2 linked regions of the Bombyx mori genome follow. The protein of the gene in region 2 purifies or fractionates together with the protein of the main gene of each other region. This does not show direct contact. Links are inferred from orthologs where the notes say so. Each region holds a gene or a part of one and is shown on either strand. Other genes may lie near its edges.

Region 1 (6,127 bases), on a different chromosome or scaffold from region 2:
TAATTTTCTAATTTGGTAATTTAAAAGCTGAGTCTAACAACACGTTAATTAGAGAAAAAAGTTGACCTTATTTAATAGAAGGAACATAAATTACAGGTGGCAACGGACCAGTTGCAATGGAGATCAATTGGAAAGGCCTATGTTTAGCAGTGGACAGCGGCTGAGATGATGAAAAAAAAAGTGTGTGTGTCCGCTCCGACGCACGACTGGAGTTTACTGGATATAAAAAATTAAACGAAACAATACGAGAAATAGTTCTATATTACGACAACACGATACACTACAGATTATTAACAAATTAACGAGACACAAAACAAACGACTAACAAATATATGAAAATACAATAATGAGAGAAACGCGCGATCAGTACGAGGCTTTGTGGCGGACTGCCGGCGCAGCAGCCCGGCGTCACCTGCGATAACGCATTTCGTGTGACATGCGCAATCAGGCGCATAACGCATTTCGTGTGACATGCTAGTACGATTTTGGTCCCCATAATTTTCATACCCCGGGCCTATATATGTAAATCGATTCTAAAGGAGTAAACTCCAAAAATTTTTTTATTTCAAGAGTTATGTATAGCTAGTTCAGTCAATTTTTTTTCGGTAGGCAGCGGTTTGGCGTTGCTGAAGTCCCTGGGCGACAGTAACCACTCATCATAAGGTGGGCCATATGCTCGTCTGCATAATTTTTTTTTTGGAGTTTACTCCTTTAGAATCGATTTACATATATAGGCCCGGGGTATGAAAATTATGGGGACCAAAATCGTACTAGCATGTCACACGAAATGCGTTATGCGCCTGATTGGCTCCTGATTGCGTGATGCGTGCGCGCGCCAATCAGGAGCCAACGCGCGGCCGCGTTATCGCAGGTGACGCCGGGCTGCTGCGCCGGCAGTCCGCCACAAAGCCTCGTATAATAGCCGGCAAACTTCTTGAGCATTTGTTGACGTAGTGGGGGTAAGTTTGCGCATGGTACACTCACGTGCAAAAACATTATTTACTCTGCGTCATAATGCAATTAAATTATTAAAATCAACATATGTATTTATTTATATATTTATTAGAACATCAACAAAAAATATAGGTTAATAATTGTAATAATTTAATCTTGGGGTAAAATAGATATTCCTTCTACTAAGTCAAAACTAGAGCTGTTGCCAGGTCTTCGTTCAGTTGAAGCGAAGCTGGTATTTGTAATTTTTTTTTCGTTATCATAATCTTGACCATTATCATCATCACTGTTTTCATCACTGGAGTCGCCATCATCGTGATAAGTGGACATAGGGCTCATCGGTGTAGTTTACGACTCGGTCGGTTCGATCTTCTTTTTTGTCTATAATTTATTATTTTTTGAAGATATTCGATTCGTAGTAATCGAATGTTACTTTTTTCAATTACCAGCTTCCGATTATTTTCTGTTTTTTTTTTCCATCTGAAGCCTAGCTCTTTCATAATTCGTCGTAAACTTCATTCCGAGCTATTAAAATGTATATCTTCTTTAAAATTTTCGAAGCCTTTCTACGGTACGGAGTTTCGCTGCTTGTTATGTAGTTATTATGATTACATCTTTTTATTACAGATTGAACGAAACTATCCATTCCGGTAACTTTCTTCTTCCCTGATCTTTTCTTACCCGGAGTCCCAAGCACGACGAGCAAGCCAGAGCCTTTAGCTTTCTTTGTTAATAATGCACCTAACAGTACTCACTGATGTTTTTGTTGCTTCCGAAGTCTGTTTTACTTTTTCATAATATCATTCTTCCCCTGTTTTATAATGAAGCAATATACGTCGTACACAATTTTTCTGCCCTTTCTTTTGAATACTACACAAGTTTGTCGCGGCATAGTGTATTTTTTATAAAAAATCAACAAATACTCAACAAATAGCAATGGCAACAAAGTCAACAAGCAATTATAACAAAATTTATTAACGATTAATAACGATAGACTTTTCACTGTACGCAAGCGTACTTTTGGGAGCAAGCGGAACGAAGGCGCGGTGCGGGACGCAAGGTTCGACTGATCTACCAATAACGCGCTCGATACGATTTCCCCTGCCGTCGCGCCTCACCCTCACCACCAAAGTGATCTAAAATTCGGTTCTGCGCAGTCAAGGTCATTTGCTCACGATGTTTGCCGGTTACTATACTGATCGCGCGTTTCTCTCATTATTGTATTTTCATATATTTGTTAGTCGTTTGTTTTGTGTCTCGTTAATTTGTTAATAATCTGTAGTGTATCGTGTTGTCGTAATATAGAACTATTTCTCGTATTGTTTCGTTTAATTTTTTATATCCAGTAAACTCCAGTCGTGCGTCGGAGCGGACACACACACTTTTTTTTTTTAAATTACAGTTTTTATTTGTTTTTTTGCCTGAACTTTCATGAATCTAAGCTTATTAGAATAACTTTATTTTATATTGGTCAAAGTAGAATAGTAGTAATAAAAATGTAATTTAACCTTCCTTAATTTTTTCATTTCAGTTAAATCAGTAGTTAAATTACTTTTTATCTGGCAGCAAATGTAGAACGGAAGCTGCCTAGTCTATGACGTCATGGGCGGAGTTTAGTTGAAGATCGAATTTGGATTCGGTTGGCGGGCGCGGCCATCTTGGTGAATAAGTGACCTGGCGATTCGGATTTAGTTAGTGTAAAATCATTTGTCATCCACAATGTCGGAAAGGGAAGATAATGTGTATAAAGCAAAGTTAGCTGAGCAGGCTGAGCGCTATGACGGTAAGCATATATTTTTACTGTAATGCTATCATTCAGTCGAAGATTCTATCTTATTTTCGCCGACAATTGAAAAACGATTTTAAGATTCTTTAGAGAATATCCTATGTCCAAGACGTAATTATCATTTCATTTATTTCAATTTTCTATTGCAAATAGCCTTGTAGGTCGCAGTTTGTATATTTGATAATAGAAAAACGAGTCAATGGTATTCATTAGGCTTGGCCTGCGATCGATGCGTCATCCACCGGTGGGATGTCTTAGGTTTTTTACATGAACAAAAACGCTGAATCCATTCTCAACCTGAAATAGAACCTTCATGGTTCAGTTACGATAGTTTTTTCAGTTGTAGAATCGCAACTTTATGACTGAAAGTTTCCAATAAAAGTGATTTTCAAGAATTTGTAGTACCGTTGACCGGGTGTCAGAGGATCTGGATCGATGCGCCACTGGTTTTCTTGTATGTCTGCTATTGTGATCCAGACACATTAGAAACATCTTAGTTATGACGTAGTTTTATGGCGCCTTAGATTTCACCTATTGTTCACAATTTGATGCCACGGGAACTGTCTCCTTAGGGTTTTACAACGATTTCGTCTAACTATATCGCTTTCTGTTAAAGTATTATCATAGTTTTCTGTCATCTTCCTCATGAAAAACTCGGGAGTAATAATTGAAAGTCTGTGAAGGTCCACGGTTCAATGACCTTAGTTACCATTATCATTGAAGAATATCATTGTCAATCTTATCAATGCACAACATGGATGAAATATGAATGACTTGTTACACAACTGTTACACTTCATTTTATTGAGTGCATAAAGATTTTTCATCTTCATCTATCTTTCATCTGCAAAAAACATGGGTGGTATTAGATATGACATTCAATTCTAATTTTTAAAAAAGAAGCCCTAGGCCATCCTTATCCATTTCATCATGGGTTCTAAGTATTGAATATTGCTCTACATACATAGTGTGACATAGAGAAAATTGTAACAGGTTGGTCTGCAATCAGTACATTATTGATTATTTTTATGAACCACTAAAAGTATTGTCAGTGGGACTAAAGTTGACCACACCCTTTTATGGCTTGACCTTCAGCCAATATTTTGCAAGTGTCTTTATTTCATATGAAATTTATTGTAATTTAATTTTAAATATAATTGTGCTAATTTGCAAGTGAATGTCAAACTTAAATGGATTTATAAATTAGAAAGTCTCATTATGTTAGTCACACATATTAAAAGTATGACTTCATTGGAACTTGCCGCATGATGCTATGACTAATATTAATAAAATAAACTTTCAAAAAATTTGAAATATCTATGTTGAAAATAATTTTTGTAGTGTACACTGAATGAGGTTGTAAATTAGAGGATGTTGTATCAGTTCGTACTCATCACATGTGACTGCTGACTGTAATCATTGGCTAATATTTAATAGTGCTACATTGGAAGCAGTGTCTAAAAATTGTAGATTGTAGTTAAAACAAGCCTCACCACGATTGGTCCTGCACTATCTGCATCATTTTGGTGAGGCTTGGGGGAGGTCTATGTCCAGCAGTTGGTGTCTGTGGGCTGAAAGATAGAAGATAGACGTGGTTAAACCAATAGTATAATTCTCATATTTATTTTTAATTCAACTTTTATTTATTTATTACTTAGATGGGTGTACAAGCTCACAGCCCACCTGGTGTTAAGTGTTTACTAAAGCCCATAGACATCTACAACGTAAATACCGCCACTCACCTTGAAATATGAGTTCTAAGGTATAGTAGGTAGTAAGGTATAGTTACAACGGCTGCCCCACCCTTCAAACCGAAACGCATGACTGCTTCACGGCATAAATATAGGCAGGGTGGTGGTACCTACCCGTGTAAACTCACAAGAAGTCCTACCACCAGTAAAACATTACAACATTATTTTTAATTAGGAGTTTTTAAAATAATAAATTCTAATAAACTACATGGCTATATACGTTGGTAGAAAGTAGTGCAAGAAAACAATGTGTGTAGTTGTGTTATAAATCAAGTTTTTTCTTGAACACGACAGGATAGGATGGCCTTCTATTTTGAGGTGATTTTTCAGTAGTTTAGTATGTAACTTTCATGTCCTACTGCACTTTTTAGATTTTTTGGGTCGTACATAATTATTGACTCATGCAACAAACACTTGAAGAACACATCACACACATGCTCTGGTTAATAATTGTGTTAACCAACAAACATGCAGAGGAACCAACTATTTCTGGGAGATTAAAATTGCATTGCAACAAATGCAATGCAGATGAACTTTTTTAACATATAACTTTCTGCATGGGTAACAATAAGATAAATAAATTGGAATTTTAAGAAAGTGTTATCCCCTTACACTGTCTTTTCAAATTACCATTACATCACATTCATTAACTTGACTGACAAATTCAATTCAAACCTCTTTAGAAATATTATATTTGTATTAAACAGTGCTTACTGAGCAAATGAGTTGATTTGTCTAATTTATTTCCCATCTTTATGATTGTTCTTAAGTATCCTATATAATTGTAAACAAAACAATGATATGTTTATTTTCCTTAATAATCTAAACACCTTAAAATGTAGAATAGACTCAGTTCCAACTGCATTAGAAGAATTAATGTAATTAAAATGAATATTATACATTCAGAGACATTTAGCATACTTTGATGATGCTTTAGGGAGGAAAAAATCTTATGTTGATTGGTCTGATGGCTCAGACCAAGATGCCTATAGGCTATGTAACGAACACAAAAGAGCTGCCACCTGATGATAAAGGGTTACTGTTGCCAAGGTCCCCATCGGAAGGGTCATAGCTCTTAGCGGCAAAGCCCTTTTGTCCCTTATCAATCCAACTTGTATACCCGCCACAGTATGGACATTGTTTTGAGATGATGAGTTGAAGTTTGAGGAAAATACTAGATTATCAAAAGTCGAAATGTTGAGCAAATATCTGCCCAATCTCCTAAATAACAATAATAAAAAGAAAAATAAATATCTATAAATATGGCGAGCTCACAGCCCACCTGGTGCTAAGTGGTTACTGAAGTCCATAGACATCTACGACGTAAATGCGCCACCCACCTTGAGATGTAAGTTCTAAGGTCTCAAGTATAGTTACAACGGCTGCCCCACCCTTCAAACCGAAATGCATTACTGCTTCACGGCAGAAATAGACAGGGTGATGGTACCTACCCGTGCGGACTCACAAGAGGTCCTATCATCAGTAAAGTACCAGATATGGTAGAAATGTACTAAAACGAATAATATATCCTATTTTTCAGAAATGGTGGAGGCGATGAAGAATGTAGCATCACGCAACGTGTCCGACAATGAGCTGACAGTGGAGGAGAGGAACCTGCTGTCGGTCGCCTACAAGAA
Region 2 (5,809 bases):
CGCTTAGGACATTTTCAGGATAAGTTTGCATATATACAAGTTCCGAACAACATTTGGACCGTCCGTCTACCGAGGAATATCATCCGCCCGGTGGAAGATCTTCCCTTTTTCGTGTACCTTCAAATTGTATTGTTTATGGTCCACCTGGATCCCATAGGAGAGCGTTCAGAAACAAAAACCAAAATGAGTTTCACGATACGAACGTGATGTACCTATCTAAGAGATAGGAATCAACTATAAAGGTTTAAAGTGAATGCAAAAGGGTAACAAACAAAAAATCGCGTTTTGTCTGGAAATACTAAGTACCTAACTACTAATTAGCGCGGATGAAGTGACAGCACTCAGATCGGGTTCATGGGTCTACTTTAAGTAACGAAGGTGCGAGTGTAAGCGCTCTATGGATCAATGAAAGAAATACATTTGTTTAATATATTATAAGATTGGACTTGTAAACAATACTTTATTTACCAAATTATTAAATACCTAAAAACTTACTTTGGTAAACGCGGGAGATTGTTGTGTGGGAAGTGGCTGGTGGGCTACGGGCGCAGGCGGCCTCGTTCGCCGCCTCTGCGTCGCTCCACTGGAGTCGAACACGCCCGCCACTATCCGCAGCCGATTGCCCGGACATATTCCCTGAAAAATACACGTCACAAATTACGACCTTACACTACAGCTATCAACAAAACAATAATTACTCATTCGTGCCTACGTGAGATTTAATTGTTTCGTGCTTTAGGTTATGAATCATAACGATAGTACGGTTTCTCGACAAACAATAGCGGACGGTCATGAAATCTATGCAATAATGACCAATGAAAATCTATATTGAATAATTTTCGAATATTTGAAATAAAAATACCTGTCTTCCTCTAAGCGAGCACAGCCACCAGCCCTCGCTGCCACCGGTGTTCTGCTCCAGCACGGTGAGCAGGTCGCCTCTTCGAAAAGCTAGCTCGTCCGGAGACTCCGCAATGTTATCATACAAAGCACGCGCCATACACTGCAATATAACAATTAAATTCTTTCAGAAACAAAGGAAGGGTCTTAGAGTTCCTTAATTAGATATTAATGCTATAGCTATAGCTACTTTAAACAAATTTGTGATTTGTTAATCCGCGATAAGGACTTAATAACTCAAGAAGATAATCTTCGGAAAATACCACATGCCAATATCATAATGATCAATCAAGAAACGAATCGAAAACTGATTCGGAGGCGACACTTCGAAACTTAACACTCAAGCAGAAAAGCCAATATATTTTGGATTTAAATAAAATCCTTTCGAGAGTAAAACTCTTGTCTTTTGTGTTCTACTTTAGGCTTAGGCTTTACAATATAGTCTCCTAATAATCAGTTTTGCTCACGTTCATCAAATCAATTTCGTTACAGGACAAAAGCGTGATAAACTTCAATGTGTCAGTCGTATTTCATCCCCATTAGTATTAGACAATGTCGAACGCATATGTTGCCGACATGCAGCTGCGACAAAACCGCGTCCTACGTTCCACCGGCGCATAAAATGACAGTTTCTGTATCCCGTCGTTTGACAGTCGATTCTAATCGATCAATATTATTGACAACAATGGAACAGTAGTTAAATAATTTAATTATCATCCGTATTTAGGAGCACATTTTTAAAATTTGATAAGTACTTATAACAAGTAAATTTTTGTGGTTGTCGAGTAGTTTTAGTGAAAACCGGTGTTGATAAAATCATTATTATTTATTGGCAACGCCAAAAATGGTAATCAAAGAGCTTTTTTCTAAAATACATACACACTCTGACTGTTATTTGAAAATGTAGGTAACAAAGGCGTATGAAATCATTACATATTTTAAAATAACACTATTTTCCCTTATCATAATTAATGTTGGCAGAAATTTATATCTACTTATTTATAATTCCCGAGTATTATTCGATATTGAAAATAGATATACGGTTACGCGGAGTGAGTGCAGTCTATTTGCTGAGACAGTATTGTTAAATGTACTACATTTATTTACGACTAGCGGCCCGCTCCGGCTCCGCTCGGGTCTTTAACAAAAATTTCAAGGATATTTGACGTTGTTTTATTTTAAAAAATAAAATAACACTTATTGCGGCATAACTATATTAGTTAGACATTTGCTGTCGCGGCATTTTTTGTAAATAATAATGTGTTCTACAAAGTCGTAGTACATTCTTTTATTGTATCGTGAATTGCTTATCGCAGCGCACTAAAAAATATTTTAGGTAATTTTTTTACACCTTGGGTTACATTATTGGAGTTTTAGTAAAGATCCCTCGGGAATAGTATAGCTTCCAAACAGTGAAAGAATTTTTCAAATCGGTTCAATAGTTTCGAAGCCTATTCAATACAAACAAACAAGCAAATCTTTCGTCTTTATAATATTAGTATAGATGTTTCTGACAGGCTATGTCCAAAAAAAAAAACGTAAATATAAATACATACTAGTTGCGCTCTTCTTGACGTTTTCGAAATATTAAATTTATTAGGTACATGTCGATTTTATCAATTTCCAAAAAAAAATAATTGAATATCATGTTAACACACGTAGGATCATTTTAGAATGCGTTACTCGCTCGTGAATAAAGGAATCATTATTTTTAATACCAAAACCATAATCTAGGGATACATTAATATACTTCACTTTGTATCAATTCAAGATAAATTGAGGAGTTGATAAAAAGTTGAGATAATTACGCAAAAATAAAGAGAACAGTTATGCCTAGACTGGGACAAATTTGACCAAGAATTCAGATGTCCCGAAGTCCGAATGCTATAAAAGTAACGTATTTTAAAAGTTGATTTAGATTATATATATTTATTTTTAAAAAAAATCGCAATATTACTTTCCGGTCTGAGACTGAATGAATTAAAAATCAAATCTCGGTTCTGTGCAGCGTGCCTTCAGTGAAATCTTACGAGCTTTTTTTTTCAGAAAGCTTCAAAATAAGCGAACAATTAATTTCCTATAGCACTATTGTTGGACGAATAATCTTTCTAATTTTTTATTGAATATTGGAACGATCACCTAGATGGTAGTGCGACTAGATTTTAGAGTAATTTGTGAAGTTATGATATTCCAAATTCCAACTAAAAGAGGCTCGATATCGAACAAAATGGAACAGATTTATTGCCGCCAGCATTTTTTTTTACGTACGTATTTCTATTCTTTTTTTTTTCCTACCTTTGCTGATAGCCTTGAAAGGCTATTTCAGCTTCGCCCTAACGTTTGTAGGTGAGCTCGCGGGGCTCAACCGGAGAGTTGCTAACACTGACCCTAGCAAGAGCAGTGCTTCGCAGAATCTACCACCGGATCGGAAACGCGACCCACTGAGAAGATCCGGCGAGAAACTCAGTGGGCTGTGTCTATGGGTTAGTTCGCTCGTCGAACCCTTCGTCGTAAGCGACGGGTTCGATGAGGACGGTGACCGGAACGTACGTATGTAGTACGTATTTCGTTAGCAAAATTGGTACCCGCCTGAGATTCGAGCACCGATGCATCGCTCAACACGAATGCACCGGACGTCTTATCCTTTAGGCCGCGACGACTTAAAGCACAGCATGTAACATTCCAGCAGACAAGATAAGAAAGAAAAAACGCATAAAATAATCTAATAATCAAATCAACTTACAATGTTTACCCATTTTATGGAGCATGTCTTAACGCTAATTTTTAGGTTAAATTTACAGTTACACATTGTGAACACTGGTTTTTCCAACCTTCTGTAACTATATTTGTTTTTAGAACTTATTATTGAATTTCACAAAATACTTTACAAAGTCTGTATATCAATCAAGCACTAGTAATGAGACACAAGTGATCGCCACAAAGTTACAAAGTGAACTGATTGAAACAATATTAACACTAAATATAATAAATATATTTATTTATATAAACAACGAGTGTATAACCGTTATTGGAACCAGTTGAGTCACAGTGACGTCATTAAGATCGACGCACTTATTAAATTTATGTCCGTTTCGAGATATTGAGACACTGAGACAGGAGCCTATTATTACCAGCCAGTTTGTGACCTTTGGCCAATTATTATTGTGCAAGATATATATAGATAAATAATAAGATTTACCGTCATTATTGTCATGGGCCAAAAGTTTTAGTGTACAAATTAAGTTTTCATTATGTTCAAACCTATACAGTTTATTAACGTGACCACTGATTTTATGGTAATTGTGAACCAGCACGTGTTTGTACTACCATCCGCCTATTTCTGCCCCGAAGCAATCAGTCCTGGCTTGAAATGTAAGACATTACATATGATTGAGACTTCAAGCTCCGATCCCAAGGTTAGAGGGTGATGCTTGAGGTTCAATGTTCAGGTAGCAACTTAACATCGAGGGCTAAGACCATTTTAGTTTACCTTTCTACCTAATATTCTAACCAAAACACTCACAACATTTTGTCAATGATAACAAAAAATTGCAATAAAAATAAATGCTCATACGAAAGAAGAATATCATTTTATAATATTATATGACTTGTACTTTATTTTAAATTAAAGATAATTAAAAACAATGAAAATTAATTGTACGCAGATTGGAACCGCATGAGTTGGTGTGATTCATAGATTCACCATTCACAGAAACTGACATAATATGTAGTTGTTAAATTATTATTGTATAGCACTCGATCTATCCACGTGTGAGGTCATTTTCTAAGGTTAATTCACGTCACTATATCGGGGACCATTGTATCATTTGTTTCGTTTTATTGGCGCCTTGTGGTCAGCCATTCAGACCCAGTTTTATTAAATGTGTGTGTCCGCCTAACGCTCATCCATTTCTTATCTTTTGTGGTGCTTTCAGTATCCACATAATATTGTGAAAAAATATCCACAAGTAGCAATACCGAGATTTTTTAAGTTTTGTTGTATGCAGTCATCAACATTGGTCTCCTGTAAACATAGCTCATTTGATTCCCACGTTAATCGTCTTAACGACACATTTAATCTTACTTACACTTAATCTGTTAATGATCGATAAAACCAATTCACTAAGAGATCTAAATTAAAAAAAAACAGCTATTATTATTATTACTATATTATGTTTTTATCAGCTTTCTTGCCAATTTTAGCTACAGCTGTTTATATAAATGTTTCATTAAACATGGAATTATTATACGAATTAATTTTAAAGTAAACTTCTGAATTTATGATAGATAACATAGTTACCTCCTCCCACTTGATAGTGCATAAGTACCTCAACTTGTATTATTACGCTTGTTGTTTTGATTAACGGGGTCCGTCGGCTTACAACGTGAATGTTGCTGGCTTTTTTCCCCTCCCTATGCTGATAGTCTTGAGAGGCTATTTCAGCTTTACGCTACCGTGTAGGTGAGCTCTTGGGGCTCACACCGGAAGTTTTGCTAATACTGGCCCTAGCAAGAGCAATGCTTCGTAGAATCTACCACCGGATCGGAAACGCGACCCACTGAGAAGATCCAGCGAGAAACTCAGTGGGCTGTGTCTATTTAATTTACCCGCCGAGCCCTATATCGCAAGCGAAGAGTTCAGCAAGGACGCTGATCAGGGTGGCGCTCGCTACTCATATTTAGACAAGTCGAAGTATGAATATAGTAATAGTAATAAAGTATCAAGACTCGTCCACCCTTTAAACGGGAACACATGACTGCTCCGCGGAAACACGCAAAATGTTAAGGCTTAGGCTCACAATACGGCCTACCATGACTATGAAATGTGATTAGATTCCAATATTTTAGAATAACACAGACATTTTTAATCATATATTACGTTGTACTTACTATTCTTCTGATGACTACG

What was found.
Region 1: the proteins of breast cancer anti-estrogen resistance protein 1 (region 2) and Ywhae purify together in Homo sapiens (affinity purification with mass spectrometry; 3 studies listed by BioGRID and IntAct, with this or other methods). This does not show direct contact. The link is inferred for Bombyx mori from reciprocal best matches to the Homo sapiens genes BCAR1 and YWHAE.

Annotation. Positions count from the first base shown.
Region 1 is NC_085122.1:14,130,073-14,136,199, forward strand, and holds the start of Ywhae (14-3-3 epsilon protein), read left to right. Parts: upstream 1-2,562; 5' UTR 2,563-2,673; coding exon 2,674-2,737; intron 2,738-6,030; coding exon 6,031-6,127. UniProt on the Homo sapiens protein: Adapter protein implicated in the regulation of a large spectrum of both general and specialized signaling pathways. Binds to a large number of partners, usually by recognition of a phosphoserine or phosphothreonine motif.
Region 2 is NC_085117.1:10,878,578-10,884,386, forward strand, and holds the start of breast cancer anti-estrogen resistance protein 1, read right to left. Parts: upstream 3,825-5,809; 5' UTR 3,710-3,824; coding exon 3,644-3,709; intron 1,004-3,643; coding exon 863-1,003; intron 637-862; coding exon 496-636; intron 1-495. UniProt on the Homo sapiens protein: Docking protein which plays a central coordinating role for tyrosine kinase-based signaling related to cell adhesion. Implicated in induction of cell migration and cell branching. Involved in the BCAR3-mediated inhibition of TGFB signaling.